Oryctolagus cuniculus: one gene and its partners. The protein of the gene in region 1 interacts with the protein of each later gene in a biochemical or structural test. Links are inferred from orthologs where the notes say so. Each region holds a gene or a part of one and is shown in the gene's direction. Other genes may lie near its edges.

The links.
Region 2: of the proteins of RPTOR (region 1) and MAPK1, one has a biochemical effect on the other in vitro, tested with the Homo sapiens proteins (2 studies listed by BioGRID, with this or other methods). The link is inferred for Oryctolagus cuniculus from reciprocal best matches to the Homo sapiens genes RPTOR and MAPK1.
Region 3: of the proteins of RPTOR (region 1) and RPS6KB1, one has a biochemical effect on the other in vitro, tested with the Homo sapiens proteins (6 studies listed by BioGRID and IntAct, with this or other methods). The link is inferred for Oryctolagus cuniculus from reciprocal best matches to the Homo sapiens genes RPTOR and RPS6KB1.
Region 4: the proteins of RPTOR (region 1) and AKT1S1 interact in a biophysical measurement, tested with the Homo sapiens proteins (2 studies listed by BioGRID and IntAct, with this or other methods). The link is inferred for Oryctolagus cuniculus from reciprocal best matches to the Homo sapiens genes RPTOR and AKT1S1.

What each region holds. Positions count from the first base shown.
Region 1 is NC_091448.1:1,534,389-1,539,279, reverse strand, and holds part of RPTOR (regulatory-associated protein of mTOR), read left to right. Parts: intron 1-954; coding exon 955-1,072; intron 1,073-2,418; coding exon 2,419-2,559; intron 2,560-3,405; coding exon 3,406-3,564; intron 3,565-4,891. UniProt on the Homo sapiens protein: Component of the mechanistic target of rapamycin complex 1 (mTORC1), an evolutionarily conserved central nutrient sensor that stimulates anabolic reactions and macromolecule biosynthesis to promote cellular biomass generation and growth.
Region 2 is NC_091452.1:28,975,980-28,981,558, forward strand, and holds the start of MAPK1 (mitogen-activated protein kinase 1), read left to right. Parts: upstream 1-1,772; 5' UTR 1,773-1,911; coding exon 1,912-2,030; intron 2,031-5,579. UniProt on the Homo sapiens protein: Serine/threonine kinase which acts as an essential component of the MAP kinase signal transduction pathway. MAPK1/ERK2 and MAPK3/ERK1 are the 2 MAPKs which play an important role in the MAPK/ERK cascade.
Region 3 is NC_091448.1:35,203,352-35,208,242, forward strand, and holds part of RPS6KB1 (ribosomal protein S6 kinase beta-1), read left to right. Parts: intron 1-929; coding exon 930-1,077; intron 1,078-4,891. UniProt on the Homo sapiens protein: Serine/threonine-protein kinase that acts downstream of mTOR signaling in response to growth factors and nutrients to promote cell proliferation, cell growth and cell cycle progression.
Region 4 is NC_091449.1:7,694,987-7,700,613, forward strand, and holds the start of AKT1S1 (proline-rich AKT1 substrate 1), read left to right. Parts: upstream 1-1,891; 5' UTR 1,892-2,358; coding exon 2,359-2,597; exon of another isoform or gene 2,598-3,260; intron 3,261-4,060; coding exon 4,061-4,446; intron 4,447-5,446; coding exon 5,447-5,524; intron 5,525-5,595; coding exon 5,596-5,627. Other genes in the region: TBC1D17 (TBC1 domain family member 17), read right to left, coding at 671-745, 851-949, 1,383-1,403. UniProt on the Homo sapiens protein: Negative regulator of the mechanistic target of rapamycin complex 1 (mTORC1), an evolutionarily conserved central nutrient sensor that stimulates anabolic reactions and macromolecule biosynthesis to promote cellular biomass generation and growth.

The sequences.
Region 1 (4,891 bases):
GGCGCCAGAGAGCAAGGGTGTGCCGGCGGCTCTTTGTGACGTGGCGTTTACGCCTCCTCCCACATCTGCCGCGTTGTCCTCCACTGTCTAGGAGCTCACTGACAGGCTGGAGCCGGCAGGCACGCGGGGCCGCCCTTGTTACTCGGACCTTGCTGGTCCTGAGGAGAATCTGCAGGTTGCACACTTGCGGGCACCGACCTTGTCGGGCAGGGTGGGCCGGGGTGCTGTTTGTGACCCCAGCCCCAGGGCCCAGCGCCCGTGTTCCAAGCTCACTCGCTGTTGTCGGCCTTAGGACAGACGTAAGAACTGTCTGGATACTTTAGGTTTCGTTCGCAAGTGCTTGTGAGCCAGCCCCCGCCCCCAGCCACGTGTTTGGTCCGAGCCACGTGTGTCCTGACGACACGTGTTGAAGATTGCACCGTGATGAGCTCACACGCGTCGGAAGGGAAGGCTGCTCTGTTCCCCAGACCCTCGCTAAACGTCTCCTCCCTCTGCAAACCGCCCGGAGATGGGAGGACTTGACTGGGCGGGGTGGGGGAGGGGAGCCAGAGGCGGGCACTCGCTGTTCAGTGTGACCAGAGGCCGGGCAGGAAGCAGCCCGCACCCCACGAGAGCTCAGGCCCCATAAGGCCACTCCCTGCACCAGGGCTAACAGCGTGCAACTCCGGCAAGCATGAGGCCACCCATGGGGCCTGGAGAGGCACCCCCTGCTCTGCAGCCCCTGCATGTGGAGCCCGGAGAGGCACCCCCTGCTCTGCAGCCCCTGCGTGTGGAGCCCGGGGAGGCCCCTTGCTTTGCACCCCCTCTCACAACAGCTGGAAGGGTCCTGTCTCTAACACTGGTCGCAGGGTTGTGTTTGGACCTCTCTCTCTCTGTGGCGTCTCAGGCGTCCGGCACTGACGTGAGTCTCGTTACCAGCCCGGTGAGCGTTCACGTCCCTGTACCTCTCGGCAGGAGCTGGTGGTGGCCCTGAGTCATCTCGTCGTGCAGTATGAAAGCAACTTCTGCACCGTGGCCCTGCAGTTCATGGAGGAGGAGAAGAACTACCCCCTGCCTTCCCCCGCGACCACAGGTACCCCCTTGTTTTTGAAGCCCTGCAACCCATCCCCGCTCCAGCAGAAGCCACCGCCCCCTCCCGCTGCCGGCCAGGCCCCTCGCCGAGCCAGGGCTCCAGTCGGGTTCCTCAGGCCTGCCTCCGGCCGTCTCAGGCGCTCAGCAAACCGTGGGGGGCAATGACCCCCTTCCTCTCCCCCTTTCCTTCGATCAAATTCATGGACATCGTGGCGGACGGCAGAACTTCTGCCGTGGGGGTGGAGAACGCACGTGGGCGAGGAGTGACCTCAGGCCCATGCGGCCCCGAGTCAGGCCGGGAGGCTCCCCCTCTCGCGTCTGCTTTTCTCTGGAGAACACGGTCAACCCCTCCCCGACATCACCGCCATTGCCGAGGGCTCGTGACCAGGAGCAGACCTGGGAGGGGTGGCAGAACCAGAGTGGCCAGGCCCCAGCAGCCCACAGCCCATGTCACTGAGGCCGCGTGGGCCCCGTCCTGTGCCGTGTGGCCTTTTGCCGTTTAACATTCTCAAAGACAGGCAGCTGCCTTGCTGGGCTCTCCAGCTCCTGCCCATGGCCCCAGAGCTGAAAGCCCCTTCCCTCAGCTCGGTCCTGCCCAGAAACAGGCGCCACCTCCTGTCGCCGCAGCTGAGGCAAGAGGGCGAGGACCTTCCTTTTTTCTTTTTCTTTTTTTTTTTTTTTTAGGTTTTATTTAAAGATTTACTGGGCCCAGTGCTGTGGCACAGTGGGTTAAGCCACAGCCTGCAGTGCCAGCATCCCATATGGGTGCCAGTTCTAGTCCCGGCTGCTCCACTTCCCACCCAGCTCTCTGCTGTGGCCTGGGAAAGCAGCAGAAGATGGCCCAAGTGCTTGGGCCCCTGCACCCATGTGGGAGACCTGGAGGAAGCTCCTGGCTTCACCAGCCCAGCCCATCCCCAGCTGTTGTGGCCATGTGGGGAGTGAGCCACTGGATTGAAGATCTGTCTCTGTCTCTGTGTCTCCTCTCTCTCTAATTCTGACTTTCAAATAAATAAATCTTAACTCTGCCTTTTAAATAAATTTTTAAAAATAGATTTGTTTAGTTATTTGAAAGTCAGAACTAGAGAGAGGGAGAGATCTTCCATCTGCTGGTTCACTCCCCGGATGGCTGCGAGCCGGCAGCCTGGAGCTCTGTCCGGGTCTCCCGCGCGGGTGCAGGGCCCAAGCGCTTGGGGCATCTTCCACTGCTTCCCAGCCGCGTTAGGAGGGAGCTGGATGGGAAGCGGAGCAGCCGGGACTGGAACCGGGCAGCGACTGAACCTGCTGTGCCCAGAGCAGCCGCTGCCCTTCTGTGGAAGCCTGGCGCTAACGCTTTCCCTTCTGCCCTAGAGGGGGGCAGCGTGACCCCGGTGCGGGAGAGTCCGTGCACCCCCAGACTCCGTTCTGTGAGCTCGTATGGAAACATCCGCGCAGTCACCACAGCCAGGAGCCTCAACAAATCTCTGCAGAACCTGAGCCTGACAGAAGAAGGTGGGGCGCGGGCGGGCTCGCGGCCTGGGCCCTGAGGGCCTCGGGGGTGCCGTGCCGCTGGGTCTGCCCTGTCTGCAGCCGTGGTGGTTGGCCAGCCGCGGGCGTAGCACGGAAGCCGGGGTTCTGCTCACAGTGGCCAGTGCTGCACATCTGCAGAGACCACAGGCTCAGCTGGGGACAGGTGGCCCTCAGACAGCCACACCCTCAGACAGCCGCCCCCTCAGACAGCCGCCCCCCTCAGACAGCCGCCCCCCTCAGACAGCCGCCCCCCTCAGACAGCCACACCCTCAGACAGCCGCCACCCTCAGACAGCCGCCACCCTCAGACAGCCGCCCCCCTCAGACAGCCACACCCTCAGACAGCCACCCCCCCGCCCCGGTCTCCCAGGAGTAACCATGCCATGGAGCTTGGTTCAAAGGAGAAGAGGCAGGGTGTGTGTGTCCCCACCTGTGTGCAGGGGTGTATGTACGTGTGTGTGTGTACGTGTGTGTGTACGTGTGTGTGTCCCCACCTGTGCACAGGTGTGTGTGTATGTACGTGTGTGTGTACCCACATGTGCACAGGTGTGTGTGTGTACCCACCTGTGCACAGGTGTGTGTGTGTGTGTGTCCCCACCTGTTCACAGGTGTGTGTGTACGTGTGTGTGTGTACCTACATGTGCACAGGTGTGTGTGTGTGTACGTGTGTGGTGTGTACCCACCTGTGCACAGGGGTGTGTGTGTGTGTGGGTGTGTGTGTGGTGAGCCTCATTGTGCAGGAGCAGACACATCTGAGGCAGGCCAGGAGCCACAGAGCAAGGCCAGGGGTGCCTGAGCCGCACCCGACGCCCTGCGCCGTGTCCTGCAGCGGGCAGCTCGGTGGCCTTCTCCCCCGGCAACCTCAGCACCAGCAGCAGCGCCAGCAGCACCCTGGGCAGCCCGGAGAACGAGGAGTACATCCTGTCCTTCGAGACCATCGACAAGATGCGCCGCGTGAGCTCCTACTCCTCGCTCAACTCCCTCATCGGTGAGCGCCCAGCCCTCGCCCCGCCACAGCTGCGGGAGTGGGGGAGAGGAGGTGCGGGCGCGGGGCCGCTCGGCCACGGACTTGGCGGGCGCTGGCTCACAGCCAGGCCAGTGGGCAGCGGGTCGGGCGGCCGCCGGAACCTCCCGCCGCCCTCCCTCGGTGCGCACGCCTGCCCGAGTGCCCCGCGCTCCGAGCTGTGTTCTCAGCCCGGTGGTTTTACCCCGGGCCGCTCGGTGCGAGTGGGGGTGCCTCTGCCCTGGCGCGGAGTGGGCAGAGGTCAGGGCGCCGCCGCAGGCCCCAGTGCTCGGGTGGCAGCAGTGCAGGCTGAGGGCCCTCGGCTGTGCCCCGCACCCCTCCCTCCCAGAGTGCCCCTGGAGATGGACGTTGGAGATGGGGCTCTGGTTTCTGTCTTGTGCCCTGAACGTACGTTTCTGGTTCCCCCGCCAGGACCACTGCCGTGAGGGCCTGGGGAGCGGCCAGCTGCTGGCTTTGGCCTGACCCAGCCCAGCAGCTGCAGACATCTGGGTGGGAGTGAACCAGAAGAGCTCGCTCTCGCTCTCTCTCGCTCTCTCGCTCGCTCTCTGTCTCTCGCTCTCTCTCTCGCTCTCTCTCTCTGTCTCTCGCTCTCTCTCTCTCTCGCTCTCTCGCTCTCTCTCGCTCTCTTGCTCTCTCTCGCTCGCTCTCTGTCTCTCGCTCTCTCACTGTCTCTCGCTCTCTCTCTGTCTCTCGCTCTCTTGTTCTCTCTCGCTCCCTCTCGCTCTCCCTCCCTCTCCCTCGCTCTCTCTGGCGCTCTGTCTCTGTGTGTGTCTCTGTGGCCCTGCCTTGGAATTAAACACAGAGACACAGGAAGGATACGTAGTCGTCCCCTGTGATGTTCTCCTCACTCGGCTTCTGTCGCAGCCTCCTGGTGATGGCCAGTGGGGCTACTTGCCTGCCTCCTTCTCTGTTCCCTCGTCCGTAAGCAAATGCAGGACCTGGCCCCTGCCTCCAGGGGACCCTGCCCCGCTGCCCCTGGGCTCTGCTGGGCTCCTGGCCTGGCCGGCTCCCTGTTCACTCAGAACTCTGGCCAAGTGATGTCTTAATGCCGCCTTCCCAGTCCACTCCCCCCTCCAGAATGGGCTCTGCTCCGTGCCGTCCCGAGAGCCTGTTTTGATTTTGGCTGTGGCTGTTAGTGAAGGAGAGGGCCGGGGCAGGGGTGCCCCCGCCTGAGTGCCTCTCACCACCGCACGTCCTGCCTGCTCGCTTGTTCTGGCGCCCACCTCTGCCCACGTGCGCTGCCTGGCGCCTGCCGGGTGCCGCGGTGCACACGCCAGCAGGGACTCACGCG
Region 2 (5,579 bases), on another chromosome or scaffold:
TTCCTAGTCTCCCACGTCGGTGGCAGGTGTTGGGCCACTTTCCACTGCTACTCCCAGGCTGTTAGCAGGGAGCCTGATCAGAAGTGGAGCAGCTTGGATACAAACCAGTGCCCACTTGGGGTGCTGGCACTGCAGTCGGCAGCTTTACCTGCTGTGCCACAATGCCAGTCCCTCATCATCCTGTTTTTTTTTTTTTTTTTTTTTTTTTTTTTTTTTTTTTTTTTTTTTTTTGACAGGCAGAGTGGACAGTGAGAGAGAGAGACAGAGAGAAAGGTCTTCCTTTGCCGTTGGTTCACCCTCCAATGGCCGCCGCGGCCGGCGCGCTGCGGCCGGCGCACCGCGCTGATCCGATGGCAGGAGCCAGGAGCCAGGTGCTTTTCCTGGTCTCCTATGGGGTGCAGGGCCCAAGCACCTGGGCCATCCTCCACTGCACTCCCTGGCCACAGCAGAGGGCTGGCCTGGAAGAGGGGCAACCGGGACAGAATCCGGCGCCCCGACCGGGACTAGAACCCGGTGTGCCGGCGCCGCAAGGTGGAGGATTAGCCTACTGAGCCGCGGCGCCGGCCTCATCATCCTGTTTTTAAAAAGAGATGCAATGTCCTTTCAGAATCAAGAATAAGAATTAGGTGTTTTCAAAATTGGGTTCTGCTTCACGGACTAACATTTGAACTCACTTTTGGGTGTAGCACTTTTTTCCCCTTATGTAACACTATTTTTTTTCTCTCCCACAGGGCTTTTAACGCGCCAGACTGACTGGCTAATCTTTATTGATTTCCAGCCGTCTCGAATTAGCAGCTCTGAAGGCTATGAGGGGAGTCTGCCTTCTCACTTCCCTCTGCAGACGGCAAGGAAATGGTTCCGAGGCGGTGGCTGGCCCATCTTCCACCGCGTGGCCTGAGCTTCCTTGGCATCCGTCTGCTTCAAGATTGCAGTTTTTTAATTTTCAGCCTCTCATGTGTCTGTGACTATTGGTTTTAGCGATTCCACCCTGGTGTTTCCAGCTCAGTACGTTCTACGTCTCAAAGCTCATGTCCATCCGGCCTAACATGGGTCTCGGTCTCACAGTGGCAACTCGAGTCTTCCTCAGGTGTCTCAACCCACTCCTCTCTGCCCCTTACTCTGCTTGACATTTCTCCATAGAAAGTACCTCAGCCTGAGAAACCTCTCTCCGGAAGTTATCTTCTACGAGGGCGGATCTAAGGGCAGACCCACTCGGCCTCTCCTGTCTCACACGTTCTCAGTACTCAAATCTCTTCTTCGGTCTGGACCACGTATTCTGGTTCCTAACATAATCTCCACACCTCCTAAGTTGTTCAGAGCGTTTGGGCCCCAGAGGGCCCGAAGCCCACGTGTGCAGCGTCGTTCGTCTTCCCCCGCACTGCCCGAGCTCGCCGCCCGGCCCCAGCCCCGGCCCCTCAGGGTCAGCCCCGTGACGCCCCGTCTCCCCATTCCGCTCTCAGCGTCTCCTCAGCCGCCTCCCGCGCCGACTCACCAGCGAACGCACGTGACCGCGCCCTTCGGCGCCTCCTCCGCAGCCGCCGCCGCCGCCGCCGCCGCCGCCGCAGCGCTCCGCCCTGAGCTCGCCGCTTCCGCCGGCCCGCGCGGCCCCGCCCCCAGCCGCAGGCAGCCAATCCTCGAGCACGCTGCTCGGCCCCGCCCCGGCGCCCTGCTCGGCGCGCGCCCCTCCCTCCGCCCGCGGGCCCGCCCGTCAGTCAGTAAGTGAGACGGGCAGTCGAGGCGAGCGGACGTCGGCTCTCCGCTTCCCCGAAAGCGGCGCCGTCCTGCCTCTTTGGCGGTCAGCTGCGGCGGCTGCACGGACGGCGGCGCGGTCCCTTGGGGAAGCGCGGCGGGAGCGGAGCGGCGGCCGCGGAGCGTCGAGCCCAGCGCGGCGGCGGCGGCCCGGCAGCCAACATGGCGGCGGCGGCGGCGGCGGGCACGGGCCCGGAGATGGTCCGCGGGCAGGTGTTCGACGTGGGGCCGCGCTACACCAACCTCTCGTACATCGGCGAGGGCGCCTACGGCATGGTGTGGTGAGTGTCGGCGCCCGCCCCGCAGGCCTGGCCCGCTCCCCCGCCCGGGGCTGCAGCGGATGCGCCGCGGCCTCGCCCGCGTCTCGGCCTCCCGCGCAGCGGTCGACCCCAGTCCCGGGCTCCCTCGGGCAGGGCCCCGGCTCGAGGTTTAAGATGTCGCTGCTCGTGGCCGGTGGCCGGTCCCGGGCCGGGCCCTCGCTCGCCGCAGGGGGGCGGAGGCCGGGACCCGCGGACGCCCTGCACCGGATAGCCGCTGGGTTTCCAGCCCGGCTCCTCCACCCCACCCCCCAAGATTTCAGAAATGTAGATTGCAAGCCCAGATTCCCGATCCCCAGCCCAGGAGGGGAACGGAAGCATCCGTCGCGCCCCGGGGTGCTCGCGAAGCCGGGAATGCCGTCAGATGCATGGCCCTGGGCTTGGACGCGGTTGGACCCTGCGTGTGTGCGGAACGGCGGCCGGCTGTGCGTGAAGTGTCTGTCCCTCAGCGGTCGTTAGCTGGTGCTCGCCTGAGCAGGCCTTCCGAAAAAGCACCCAGGTCGGCAGTGTGGCTTGTATGAAGAATTCGTCTTGCAGTTTTTTTTTTTTTTTTAATGTTTAAACGGGCATGCATGTGTTACCGTGCGTTTCAGGAATAAGCAGCCGGCATCCCTCTTGGTTTATTAAATCTGCTTGCAGTTGGGCCCAATTTGCTCTTTTTTTTTTTTTTTTTTTCCTCTCCCTCTCTTCCCTCCTCTCAGGTGAGCTCCTAACCAGTATAGATGCATCCTGTCGTGTTGGCCCGAGGACCGAGGGTTTTGCTGTTGGTATTTTAGCGGTCAGTGTATACATTCCGCCTTTCGGGGACTTTTTTTGCACAGTCACACGCAAGGCTCCCTCGGAAGAGGCGCTTCGTGCAGAAGTAGATTCTCCTGCTTCTCAGTCTCATGAGTGTGTCTTTTCCTGATGAATGAAGTAACTGAGCACTAATTTGTGGACTGCTTCGTGCCCCTTACTGTGTGCCACATCCGTATTTTATTTGAACAGCCCCCCCACCCCACCCCAAAGGAAAAGCTGGTAATATCCCTCTGTTAGGTGCCAATTTTCTAAGGTCATAGAAGAAAGTGTCAGTCTTGAGATTGAAGCCTGAGATCTTTGTGGTACACCCAGCGTCCCTTAAAATAGCATCAGTGATAATTTCGGGATTTTTAGCCTCTTTTACTGCTGTGTGCGAGTCTGTTTAAGAAACGTATGCAAATCTGAGTGATGATGACTTCAGAAATGCCATGGAGCACTTGCTTTACCAATCACCTTGACTAGATAGAAGTAGTTGGAATTATTTTTGAATAATTGAATCCTGCATGTTTTCGTTTGCTTTAGGAGCGAATTGCTCCCCAGTATACAGCTGTGAAAATTAGCATGACTTCCCCCCACCCCCACCCCCACCCCCACCCCCACCCCAGCTAAGAAGTGAAAAGAGAAATTAGGTCAGGCCTGAAAGAAATTAGGCTCTGAAAAAGTACTGGAGGCCGGCGCCACGGCTCACTAGGCTAATCCTCCACCTGCGGTACCGGCACCCCAGGTTCTAGTCCCGGTCGGGGCACCGGATTCTGTCCCAGTTGCCCCTCTTCCAGGTCAACTCTCTGCTGTGGCCCGGGAGTGCAGTGGAGGATGGCCCAAGTGCTTGGGCCCTGCACCCCATGGGAGACCAGGAGAAGCACCTGGCTCCTGCCATCAGATCAGCGCGGTGCGCCGGCCGCGCCGGCCATTGGAGGGTGAACCAACGGCAAAAAGAAGACCTTTCTCTCTGTCTCTCTCTCTCACTGTCCACTCTGCCTGTCAAAAAATTAAAATAATTTAAAAAATAAAGAAAGTACTGCCCCTGGTATCCCTTCTGTGTCACACGTGTTATTGTTGTCATGCCTGCTGGTGAGTACACCAGTGACTATCTCATGAGAGGCTCAGGATTGCCCGTCATGCCCTTTGACACCCCTCCCCCCTTTAATTATATAAAATATGAACTGAAAAAAAATCTTTAGGATATGTCAGTTGAAAGCATTTTTTTCCCTTAGCTGATGAGATTTTTTTCTTTAATCTGAGGGTGATGTCGATTTAGAAGCTGTTTCTGTCACTGCTGTAGACTAATCCAACCTCTGTCTCCAGTTGAAGTGCTAACTTCTCTTGCTGTAATTTTCTCTTTTGAAATAAAACAAATATAATTGACATTTGAATCGTGGGCCCAGATTACAGATTATTGCAAGTTGGTGATACAACCTGCCGTTAATCTATACTGCACATTGTTTGGCTTTTGATAAATACAGTGCTGGGGTTATGGAGGACTTCGTGGTTAAATTTTTTATTTATTTATTTATTTTTTTTTTTGACAGGCAGAGTGGACAGTGAGAGAGAGAGAGAGACAGAGAGAAAGGTCTTCCTTTTTGCCATTGGTTCACCCTCCAATGGCTGCCGTGGCCGGCGCACCACGGCCGGTGCACTGCGCTAATCCGAAGCCAGGTGCCTCTCCTGGTCTCCCGTGGGGTGCAGGGCCCAAGCACTTGGGCCATCCTCCACTGCACTCCCGGGCCACAGCAGAGAGCTGGCCTGGAAGAGGGGCAACCGGGACAGAATCTGGCGCCCCGACCGGGACTAGAACCCGGTGTGCTAGGGCCGCAAGGCGTAGGATTAGCCTACTGAGCCGCGGCACCGGCCCTAAAATGTTAATATTGAATAGCGATTTAAAAAAACAACAGTGATTCTAGAAATACTTAGAGTTTTGGCTATTTGCAAGTTTTTTTTTTTTTCAATTTTTGAATTAGTTTCTTAGTAATTCTGATTATTTTAGTCAGAGCCTTTCTCTGATCATTATGTGGAGGCTATTGTAAGGTGTCCAGGTGCACAACAAATCTTCCCAGGCAGACGAATCAATTAATTCACAGGCTTTTATTGGGGTTCCGCTCCCGGGCGAGGTTCCCCGGTCCCAACAGAGTGGGGGCCGGGGAAGTCGCGCGTCAAAGATTGGGAGAGCTCCTTTTATAGATTCAGGGCATGGGAGTTAAAGGTTGAGGCGGGTCTGATCCTCATTGGTTGACCTTTAGGCACCTGCAGGGATCTTGACAAGGACTTTCTTCCCCGGAAGTAGGCCTCTCCATTCCCGGAAGTCTAGGCCTTCCCTCCTTGCGGATCCCAAAGCTACCAGCTATAAAGATGAAGAATGGGGTTTGAGTTGGGCCTTTAAGAGTGGGTGTGTTTTTGACAGGCAGATAATAGGAGCAAGTGACAGCTTGAGCTGTAGAGTCTAATCCTGGGAACGTGCTTAGGTGGCAAACCGCAGGGCACTCTTAGAAACCTGAATTTAACAGTGTATTTGTGCAGTGGGCAAGTATTAATGTTTTTGAAAGAGGCAGTCACTTGGTCAGTTTCAAATTTTTGAGAAAGAGTGACAAACTGGTGGGAATGATAGGGAAAAGCAGTAGGGTGCTAGGCTGTGTTCCCTCCCAAGGAGCGGTATCCAGGGAAGGCAGAGGATGGGTGAGGGGCTGTGTGTAGACAGAATCTAACAGGGGCTGTTGTTGA
Region 3 (4,891 bases), about 34 Mb from region 1:
TTAGGCATGTCCAAAATAATTCATCTTTTCTCCCCAAAATTTTTTCTTACATTTCATGTTGTTGAAGGATAGCATTGTTTGATTACTTAAGGAGAAATCAGAGTATCATCATTCTTCTTATAGCTAGTAAGTCAGTAATTAACATTTTCTTTGTGCTTTCATTTTCTTAGTTACAAGTCTCAAGAGGAGTTTAGTTTACTGTTGTAATTGCATTTCTTCTCTGAAACTCCACACTGCTGCTAGAACTGTTGTTCTTAAACTCAAAGATTATTCATTTCACTTATCTGAGCATTTCTTCTTTCCAACATATTTGCCAAGATGGCCAGGAAATAGAAGGCGATTTTTCCAGCCTAATTTCTAACCACCATAACCATACTGAAATCCTGGGAGACTCCTCAGACATGTCCTGTTCTCCCAGGCTTCATTGACATTGGAATGCCTTTTGTTTAACCTTCTGCTTTTGTTTAACATCTGCATAATTTTTCATGGTGCACCTTAGGTAGCACCACGTCCAGAAAGACTTCTTTTTAGGTCAAATGGAATCCCCCATTCACCCACAGTGCCTTGTGCTTACCTCTATTGACTTGTCTTTTTCCTCTGAGACTTTGGGCTCCTATAGACAAGGCATTTCTTGTGTTAGTTCTGCTTTGTTGGCACAGAGCCTGGAGCATAGTAGACACTTAACTTAAACTTGATTTGTTTACAGATTCTTAAAATGTTGTATCTGTAGGTTTTCATTTATCTATTCACTGCAAAAAAATTCAAATAGTACAAATACGTATAAGAAATGAATGTATTCCATTATTTCATCAGAGTTTCTAGTGGGAACTATTCTGTATTGACAAGACAAGCACAATATAGATATTCCAGTTACTATAGTATTAAAATGTTCACTATTTTGTTCTTATAGATCATCTCTTTTCCTTTAGGCAATGATAGTAAGAAATGCTAAGGATACAGCTCATACAAAAGCAGAACGGAATATTCTGGAGGAAGTAAAGCATCCCTTCATTGTGGATTTAATTTATGCCTTTCAGACCGGTGGAAAACTCTACCTCATCCTTGAGTATCTCAGTGGTCAGTACACAGTTTGGTATAATTATTTGCAGTTGTTCCAGAAACTGAGTCAAAACTTTATTTTCCAGTGGAAAAATGCTTTATCTCATTGGGATCAAATAGTTCTTGAAATTGATGAATACATTAAAGTGAAGAACTCAGATGTGACCAGATGTTTCTATTTTGCACACAGATGAAATAAAAGAAACTTAAAAGTTCAGTGTTTTCCCATCTGTGAAATTTTATTTTAATCTCTTTATAATCAGTCACTAAACAAAAAAAAAAACACCTAATTGATACAGAGCTGTCAAATTGTACAAGGATAGGGTTGTATAATTCAGATGAACCATTACTGTATTCGTTTCTAAACTGAAATGGAAGAACTTACTGAGAATATTGTTTTAAAATACTGAATATTTTTAAAGTTGCATCTTTAAATAGAAATTTTTTAAAGGTTTATTTATTTATTTGAATGGTAGAGAGAGAGAGATCTTCCATCTCCTGGTTCTCTCCCCAGATGGCTGCAATAGCCTGGTCCTGACCAAAGCCAGGGTCTCCTGCATGGGTGGCAGGAGGCCATGCCCTTGGACCATCTTCCATTGCTTTCCTAGGCATATTAGCAGAGAGCTGGATTGGAAGTGGGATGGCTGGGACAGGAACTGGAGCTCATATGGGATGCTGGTGTAGCAGGTGGTGACTTAACCTATGCCACAATACTAGACCCATAAATAGAAAAAATTTTTAGTGCAGTGTAGCCTTAGTGACAGAGTATACAGTTTGCATTGGAAATCATCTGGTTTCCAAGGCCTACCATCACCTAGGAACTTTTTGCTTCACATATCATTTCTAGAGCATAGGTGTCTGATTCCAGCAAATACACTTCGGTTTTCTAAGAAACAGATTTTTGCAATAATTTGGAACTTGGAACAAAAGCTGCAGAATTTAGCAACTTTTTTTTAAAGGTTTATTTATTTGAAAGGCAGAATTACAGAGAGAGGGAGAGAGAGAAAGAGGGAGAGAGAGATTCTGTCTGCTGGTTCACTCTCCAAATGTCCACAACAGCCAGGGCTGGGCCATGCCAAAGCCAGGAGCCAGGAGCTTCTTCCAGGTCACCCTATGTGGGTGCAGGGACCCAAGGACATGGGCCATCCTCTGCTGCCTTCCCAGGCACATTAGCAGGGAGCTGGATCAGAAGTAGAGCAGCTAAAACTCAAACTAGCATCCATATGAGATGCTGGCATGCAGATGGCTGCTTAACTCTTTGCACTACAACAGCGAACCCTAGCAACTTTTTTTTTCTTTAATATTTTCTTTATTTATTTGAGTGGCAGAGTCATAAAGAGAGGAAGAGACAAAAAGAGAAAAGTCCTCCATCCACTGGTCCACTCCCCTAATAGCTGAATGGCTGGAGCTGGGCTGATCAGAAGCAATGAGCCAGGAGCCTCCTCTGGGTCTCTCACATGGGCATAGGAGCTCAAGGACTTGGGCCATCCTCCACTGCTTTCCCAGACCATAGCAGAGAGCTGGATTGGAAGTGGAGCAGCAATGTCTTGATCCTGCGCCCATATGGTATGTGGGTACTGCAGGTGACAGCTTTACCTTCTATACCACAACACTAGCTCCCCCTAGCAACTTTTAAAAAGTGGCTATTGCCATTTTTTTCGTATGGCTTTTCACAATGGTTCTTTATCTGAGAGGCAGAGAGCCAGCAAGAGTGAGTGTGAGCAAATGTGAGTACTCTCATCTACTAGTTCACTTCCTAAATTCTTATAATATTCTGGGAAGAGCTTGAAGCCAGGAGCCTGAAACTCTATCCAGGTTTCTCACCTGAGTGGCAGGAACATAATTACTTGAACCATCATCACTGTCTCCCAGGGCCTGGATTAGTAGGAAGCTAAGAGTTAGGAACCAGAGCTGAGCATTCAGCCCAAGTATATCATTGTGAGACATGAGCATCTTAACTAGTCTTAACAACTAAGCTAAGCACCTGCCCTTCTTGTAACTTTATTTTGACATTATTTCAGACTTACACAGAGCAGGTAAGCAGTGATTAGGAGGCCCATATCTCAGATGGAATGGCTGGGTCTGGCTCCTAATTCCACCTTCCTGCTAGTACAGAGCCTGGGAGGCAGTAGTGATGGCTGGAGTAATCGGGTTCTTGCCACCCAAATGGGAAATCTGGATTGAGTCCCTGGCTCACCACCTGCTCCCGCCCTACTGCTTAGCCCTGTTACCCATTACATTTGAGGAATGAGACAGTAGAAGATGAGAGTTCTCTCTTCCTCTATTTTTTTTTTTAACTCACTCTGTCTCTTAAATAAAACAAATACTTTTAAAAAAAGAATTCCCTTAATTTTGTCACCTGGAGTCCCTAAATACTATCATTTTACCATATATGATTAGTTTATACATCGTTCTATATGTATCTGTATAAATGCACATATATACACACACATATACCTGTATGTATACAGATGTGTGATTTTTTTTTTTTTATTTTTTTGAACTGTTTGAGAGTATTACAGACATGATTTGCCTTCATCCCTAAAACTGCAGGGTTTATTTTCTAAAAAAAAGGGCAGTGTCTTATATAACTACTAATTTACCTAAAATGGGGAATTAACATTGATACAGTAATCTCTCTCCTTAGTTTCTTTTAATCTTTAATCTGAATAGTACTTCAGTCTTTCTTTTTCTTTAACGATGTTGGTAATCTTGAAGAGTACAGGCTGGTGGTTTTGTGGAATGCCTCAATTTAGGTTTATCCAGTTCTTTAGGATTGGATTCAAGGTATGTGTTTTGGCAGGACTATTGAAGTGACGTTGTGTCCTCAGTGCCTGAGATCAGGAGATACATGACATTGATATCTTTGTCCCGTTAGTGGTAAAAGTCACTTTGGTCATGTGTATAAGATTGGTGTCTTCTGTTTTTTTTTTTTTTTTTTCCAGGTAGAGTTTTCTCTTTGTAATCAATAAGCATCTTTTAACAATAAATATTTCATCTTTCATCAAGCTTTCATATTCAGTTTTGGTATCCATTGATTCTTGCCTGCAGTAATTGTGATGTTTGCCAAATGATGTTTCCTATTTTATTTTGCCCCCTTCATTTATCACATAGCACTCTACTGTTATGAAGAACTTTCACTTCTCCATTTAAAAAATTTATTCATTTATTTACCTTATTGTGGACTTTCGGGTTCTAAGATTATTCAGTGTATATAATCCTTTATTATCATTATTTTGATATGTATTTGTGCCATTCTTTTTACAAGGCCTCTGCCAGGTTCATTCAGTTTTTTAAGGGTTCTGAAAATACGGAATATTAGCATTCACTAAAGTTATTGAAGATAGTTTAATTTATATTAACATTTTTCTGCCTATAGGTAAAATGTTAGATTTCAGTCAAGTTTTTTTATTTTTTTTAAACCTCAAGTCTGGAATCCACACACACTTTCAAGGTTGTAGATGTAAATTCCAAATTATTTCTAGTTTTTAAACTTAAAAGTTTCACAGAGGAATCAGAATTCTGCTAAAAATAGAGACCTGGGGACTTAGTTTGAAAATGTATGCTTTAGGATTGTTTTTATGTCTTAGGGACTGTCTTTTGTTTTTAATTAATTTATTTAAAGGGCAATGTGGCACAGACCCTCAAAAGGAGAGACAGAGACAGAGACAGAGAGATCTTCTATCTTCTGGTTCACACTCCTCAAATGCCTGCAACAGCAGGGGGTGGGCCAGACTGAAACCATGAGCCAGGAACTCCATCTGACTTCCCCACTTGGGTAGCAGGAGACCCCCCCAGGACATGGGCCATCCTCTACTGCCTTCCCAGGTGC
Region 4 (5,627 bases), on another chromosome or scaffold:
AGGGTTACCCGGCACAGCCAGGACTGGAACCCGAGGCTCCTGGTGCCCAGGCGGCAGCTGGGCAGCCATGGCAGGAGACACCCCGTGCCCACGAGGACAGCTAGCACCAGAGACCTGAGGACCAGCGGCGGCGGGCGCACAGGGACGCCGGAGCCCCACACGCTGCAGGCGGCCACGTGCAACAGGGCCGGGCTGGGGACACGGTGCGGCACTTCCTCCCCAGGCCCGGCAACGCCGCTCCGCGGGGAGTGCCCAGGACAAGGGGAACGTGTCCACGCCAGAAGGCATTCACAGACAGCCCGACAGAGACGTGGCCCAGCCTCAGGCAGCTGCCAGGCCCCGGGGGAGGCCCCTGGGTGCGGTGACGGCCATCACTGAGGCCAATGGGCTTACTACGAAGCCGGGTCTTCACAGCCCACCGACCTCCTGCTGAGTAGCCTCGCGCCCGGGGCCGGACAGGGGCGCAGGGAGGGGGCGAGCGGCGGCAGTGGCCTCTGCACCTGGGCGGGCCTCCGCTCTCCTTCCTCCAACGGGCGTCCTCGGCCCACCTCACCCAGAGGCCGAGAGGACCCGGGCCCCGGCCAGGCATCCCCGGGCCCCAGGGGCAGGCCTGGGACTGGACCCCGGGGAAGCGCGCGGTGCCAGGGCACGCAGGGCGCAGCACACTGACCTTCTTGGAGAACAGGATCTGCGTGCAGTCTCCGGCCTCCTCCACGGGGGCCCAGTGCAGCAGCACATCGCCGTCCTGGGGGGAGTGGGACAGGTCCCGGGGCTCAGCCCTCCGAGTGGGAGCCACGGACGCCCTCAAGGCCGGGCCCCCTGCACGCCGCGTCCACCCCACCCGGCCCACCTTCTCCACCACACGGATGACGCCCGCGATGAGCGAGTCCGGGTCCTGGTGCTTCTTGGCGCTGGTGTGCAGGTACACGCCGCCCTTCTCGAACACTACCTGGGGGCGGGACCCGAAGGGAGCCGATGGGGGCGGGTCCGGCGGGAGCCAATGGGGGCGGGTCTGGAGGGGGCGGGGCCCCGAAGGGAGCCGTGGGGGCGGGTCCGGCGGGAGCCAATGGGCGCGGGTCCGGGGGGAGCCAATGGGGGCGAGTCTGGCGGGGGCGGGGCCCCGAAGGGAGCCGATGGGGGCGGACCAGGGAAGTCAGCGCGTGGAGGCCCCGCCCACAGGGCGGCCGCGCGCTCCGAAAGGGGCGGAGCTCGCAAGGTCCCCAGAGTCCGGGGGCGGGGCTAGGGGGTAGGGTCTTCCCACACCCGGTTCCCACGGCTCTGTGGAGTTCCGGGCCTCCCTGGCACGGCCTGGGGAGAGGCAGATCACCGGACAGGGTCGTTTCGCATAGGCAGAAGCGAGTGAATGCGCCCCCAGTGCTTACCCTGTAGCCGGCTCCCTCCATAGCCTCGGTCGAGATCCTGCTGCCCCAGCCTCCTCCTTTTCCGGGTCAACGTAGTGTCATATCCGGAAGGGAGACTCCCCCGCACGGCCGCACGGTGGTTGCGCCCTTATGCATTCTAGAGCAGGAGTGGGTGAAACCATCTTTTAGACATGGGGGGGTGGAATTCTAAGGATGCGAGTCACATGGCGCGGACTCTAGCAGAGGAGCTGGCCAGCGAGAGTGCGCAGGCTCAGTGTCACGGTGCTCACCACGAAGTAAACAAGTGGGAGGATCCGGGGCTCCTCCCCGTGTCTCCCTGAAACCGCCCCCTTCCTGCTTCGTACTGTGTACTGGCAGCGAAGCCAAGGGGTGCCATGTTGCTCGAGGGCACGGCCGTACCCGCTAGCCTGAGGCCATGTTAATGCGGGGCAGTTCCATCTCTCTGCGGGGCGAGGTAGCGAGGTGCTCGAGAAGAGGAACGGATAAAGGCAAAGAAGGTGAGAGGAGCTGTGCGTCGCCCGAGAGCCGACGGACTCGGTACGACGGGACCAAGCCGTCGGCGTCCCCAGGACCGAAGCTGTCCCAGGCGAATTCCTGAGTCACCCTCGAAGCGGGCCGAGTCGCCATGTTGAAGCTGGGCAAACCGAAGCGAGAAATGCTGCCATCTTGGGTCTTTGCCAGCCTTGGCTTCGGAGGGGGTATAGGTTAGAGGGAGAGAGAGCCCATATACACGACGGGCAGGTGAAGCCAGGCTGGTTGCCATGTCGTTAACGGGCACCACTTCCACTTTGTGGAAGAAAGGGTGAGGAACGTTAGGTCGCCCTCCCTAGTTTCTCGTGGTCACGTGTAAGCATGTGTGGGCGGCCATATTTTCTGAGGGCTCCTCGAAGCGGCTTAAGCTGGTAAGCCATTTCCACCATCTTTGTTGTGGGCTAGCCACTGTGGCCAACACTCCCACGGACCTGGATCGAACCCCATGGCGGCCATCTTGGTCTCGGGCGAGCCAGATAAGGAAGGAGGGGAGTCACCCGGAAGTGACATCAGCCCGCCGCCATGCCTTTTGAGGGCGGCGACGGCGCCTGTCCGGCCATGCTGGCTACGGGCACGTGAGTGGAGGCGGCGTTGTGAACCGCGGTGTTGGGAGGATTTGGCCATCCTGAGGCAGAGGGGCTCCGGGAAGGCGCCCGGCTCACGGGAGTGGTATGGCCTGCATAGGTCAGAGGGCAGAGCTAGCCCAGCGGCACGTGGCTGAGCGCTGGAGGGGGGTCGCCCGCGAGAACCGTCGTGTCTGACTCTAGGCAGAGCCTGGACACCCTCATTTTCCGGTGTTCGGACCCACAGGGGTCCTCACCTGGGCCGCGGACCCCGTCCACGGGCCCGAGGGGGTTGTTGGAGGGGCTCCGGGCGCCCCTCACCCGCCCAAAGGCGGGACTTCCGGCCCTGGCCCTCACCTGGGCGGGATTTCCTGTTTTGCTGGGAAAGCGGGTCAGGCCTGGATCCCCGGGGGCTGCGGGGAGGTCGCGGGGCGGCGGCCCCAAGGTCCGCCCGCGCAGGGGTGCCCCGTGCCCCTTGTTAGGGCCGCTTCCAGTCTGACAGGCTGGGGGGGCTTGGCCAGCCGCCCTCCTCCCTGGGGAGCGAGCCCCCGCCCGCACCCCGGGCCTGGCTGCTGGCCTCGGTCGCTGCTCCCCCCGGTTAGGTCCTGTTCCCTGGTGTTGGGAGCCGCGCGCCGTCGGTCAGCGAGCCCCTCCCTGCCCCCTGCCCACGCCGCCCGGTCCCACCCTGGGGCTTCGGGCCGGTGCCTCACTTCCCACCGGATGAGCGGCTCACCGATGGGTGCTGTAACCCCGGTGCTGGGCAGGCCCGGGCCGCTGGCTGTCGGTGAGCGCCCAGCTGAGGGGTCTGGGCACAGGGCAGGGCCAGGCCCACTGGCCTCTGGGATGCCGAGCTGCGAGGGGCACGCGGACCGGACCGCAGCTGGGCCTGAGCCCCCAGTCCCTGACGACACAGAGACAGGGCCAGGCCCTACCCCCTGAGCTGCACCTGCAGGCTGCTTGCCCGGGGACGCAGGGCTCTGGTGTAGGGCCCACGGTGCAGGGAGCCTAGGGCCTGGGTGGCGTGGGGATCGCGGAGGGCCTCTGGGGGCCGCTCCAGCCTTGCAGGAAGCAAGAAGCGGTGGGTGGTCCTCGGGCAGACAGCGGCCCCCCAGTCACGCCGACCACAGGCCCCGCGAGGAGACGGTGTTGCTCAGACGTGGGGGCCCGAAGCAGGAGTTTAGGAAGAGGGAAAGTTGCGTCCACGACAGGACGATGGGAAGCTTGGCCAAGAGCTGTGGGGAGCTGGGGGGAGAGCCCAGTGTTGCCCGTGGGGGCGGCGGGCCCTTGTCCTGGGTGCGGGAGGACCCTCCTGGGGCTGGGGTCACGGTGGGGGGGGACGGCTGTGCCACAAGGAACGTGGGCTCCGTGGCAGCCGCGGCCGGACGTCCCCATCTGCTTACTGCAAACGCCCCTGCCCCGCCCCGCCCACTGGACCCCACAGGAGACAGTCAGGCCCGGCGGAGGCAGAGCTGGCACTCGGCTGGGCATCAGATGCTGGCGGGAGGGACCTGGGTGGGCTCCCAGGGTGGACGGGAGCTGCGGCAGCCAGGCCTCAGCTCCCCCGTGTCCTGCTCTGGCCCACAGGGCGCGGATGGCGTTGGGGCGCCCGGAGGAGCTGTGGGAGGCTGTGGTGGGGGCCGCCGAGCGCTTCCGGGCCCGCACAGGCACGGAGCTGGTGCTGCTGACCGCGGCGCCGCCGCCGCCGCCCCGGCCGGGCCCCTGCGCCTATGCAGCCCACGGCCGGGGGGCGCTGGCCGAGGCCGCCCGCCGCTGCCTGCACGATATCGCCCTGGCCCACAGGGCCGCCGCCGCCGCCCGGCCCCCAGCGCCCCCACCAGTGCCGCAGCCTCCCAGTCCCGCACCCAGCCCGCCCCGGCCTGCCCTGCCCAGGGAGGACGACGAGGAGGACGAGGACGCGCCCACAGAGACCGAGACCTCTGGGGAGCGGCTCGGCGTCAGCGATAATGGAGGTGAGGGGAGGCGGGGGCTGGTCCCGGGCCCTCCTGTCCCCGGAGCCGCGGCCGCTTGCTGTGGCCCCGTGTGACCCGCCCTGAGCCTCATGCCAGCTCCTGCCGGGGGCTGGCACAGGCCGAGCTCCGGGGCGTCTTCCTTGGAGGCGAGGGGCTAGTGGTTCAGCCACGGAATCGGAGGCCTGAGCTGAGGCTGGGGGAGGGGGCGTGGCTGGTGCCCCTGGAGAGCGGCCTTCTCGCCTCGCCCCGGAAGCCCCCCCCAGCAGCCTGGCTCTGAGCCTGGCCCTGTCACGAGTAAGCCGTGGGACCCCGGGCGAGTGACTCCATCTCCATCAGACGGAGGTCACGCCGCGTCCGGTTTCTCTGAGCCCGCGTGGGGCTGAGCGGTGTCGCGGGACTGCAGCCAGATGCTGGCGCCCCGCGTGTGCCGGGGACCCGGCGGGTGACCCGGGGTGGGTGCTGTGGGCACGGTGATGGCGGGGCCCTCAGCCCCGGGGTGACCCGGGGTGGGTGCTGTGGGCACAGTGATGGCGGGGCCCTCAGCCCCGGGGTGACCCGGGGTGGGTGCTGTGGGCACAGTGATGGCGGGGCCCTCAGCCCCGGGGTGACCTGGGGTGGGTGCTGTGGGCACGGTGATGGCGGGGCCCTCAGCCCCGGGGTGACCCGGGGTGGGTGCTGTGGGCACAGTGATGGCGGGGCCCTCACGGCCTGGGGTGACCCGGGGTGGGTGCTGTGGGTACGGTGATGGCGGGGCCCTCAGCCCCGGGGTGACCTGGGGTGGGTGCTGTGGGCACGGTGATGGCGGGGCCCTCAGCCCCGGGGTGACCTGGGGTGGGTGCTGTGGGCACGGTGATGGCGGGGCCCTCAGCCCCGGGGTGACCTGGGGTGGGTGCTGTGGGCACGGTGATGGCGGGGCCCTCAGCCCCGGGGTGACCTGGGGTGGGTGCTGTGGGCACAGTGATGGCGGGGCCCTCACGGCCCGGGGCCCGCCCCCTCCCAGGGCTGTTTGTGATGGACGAGGACGCCACCCTCCAGGACCTGCCCCCCTTCTGTGAGTCGGACCCCGAGAGCACGGACGGTGAGTGCCGCAGCCCCTCCCGGGCGGGGCGGGAGGGCGGGGACGGAAGCTGACGGGCGCCTTTCCTCCAGACGGCAGCCTCAGCGAGGAGACCCCCGCTGGC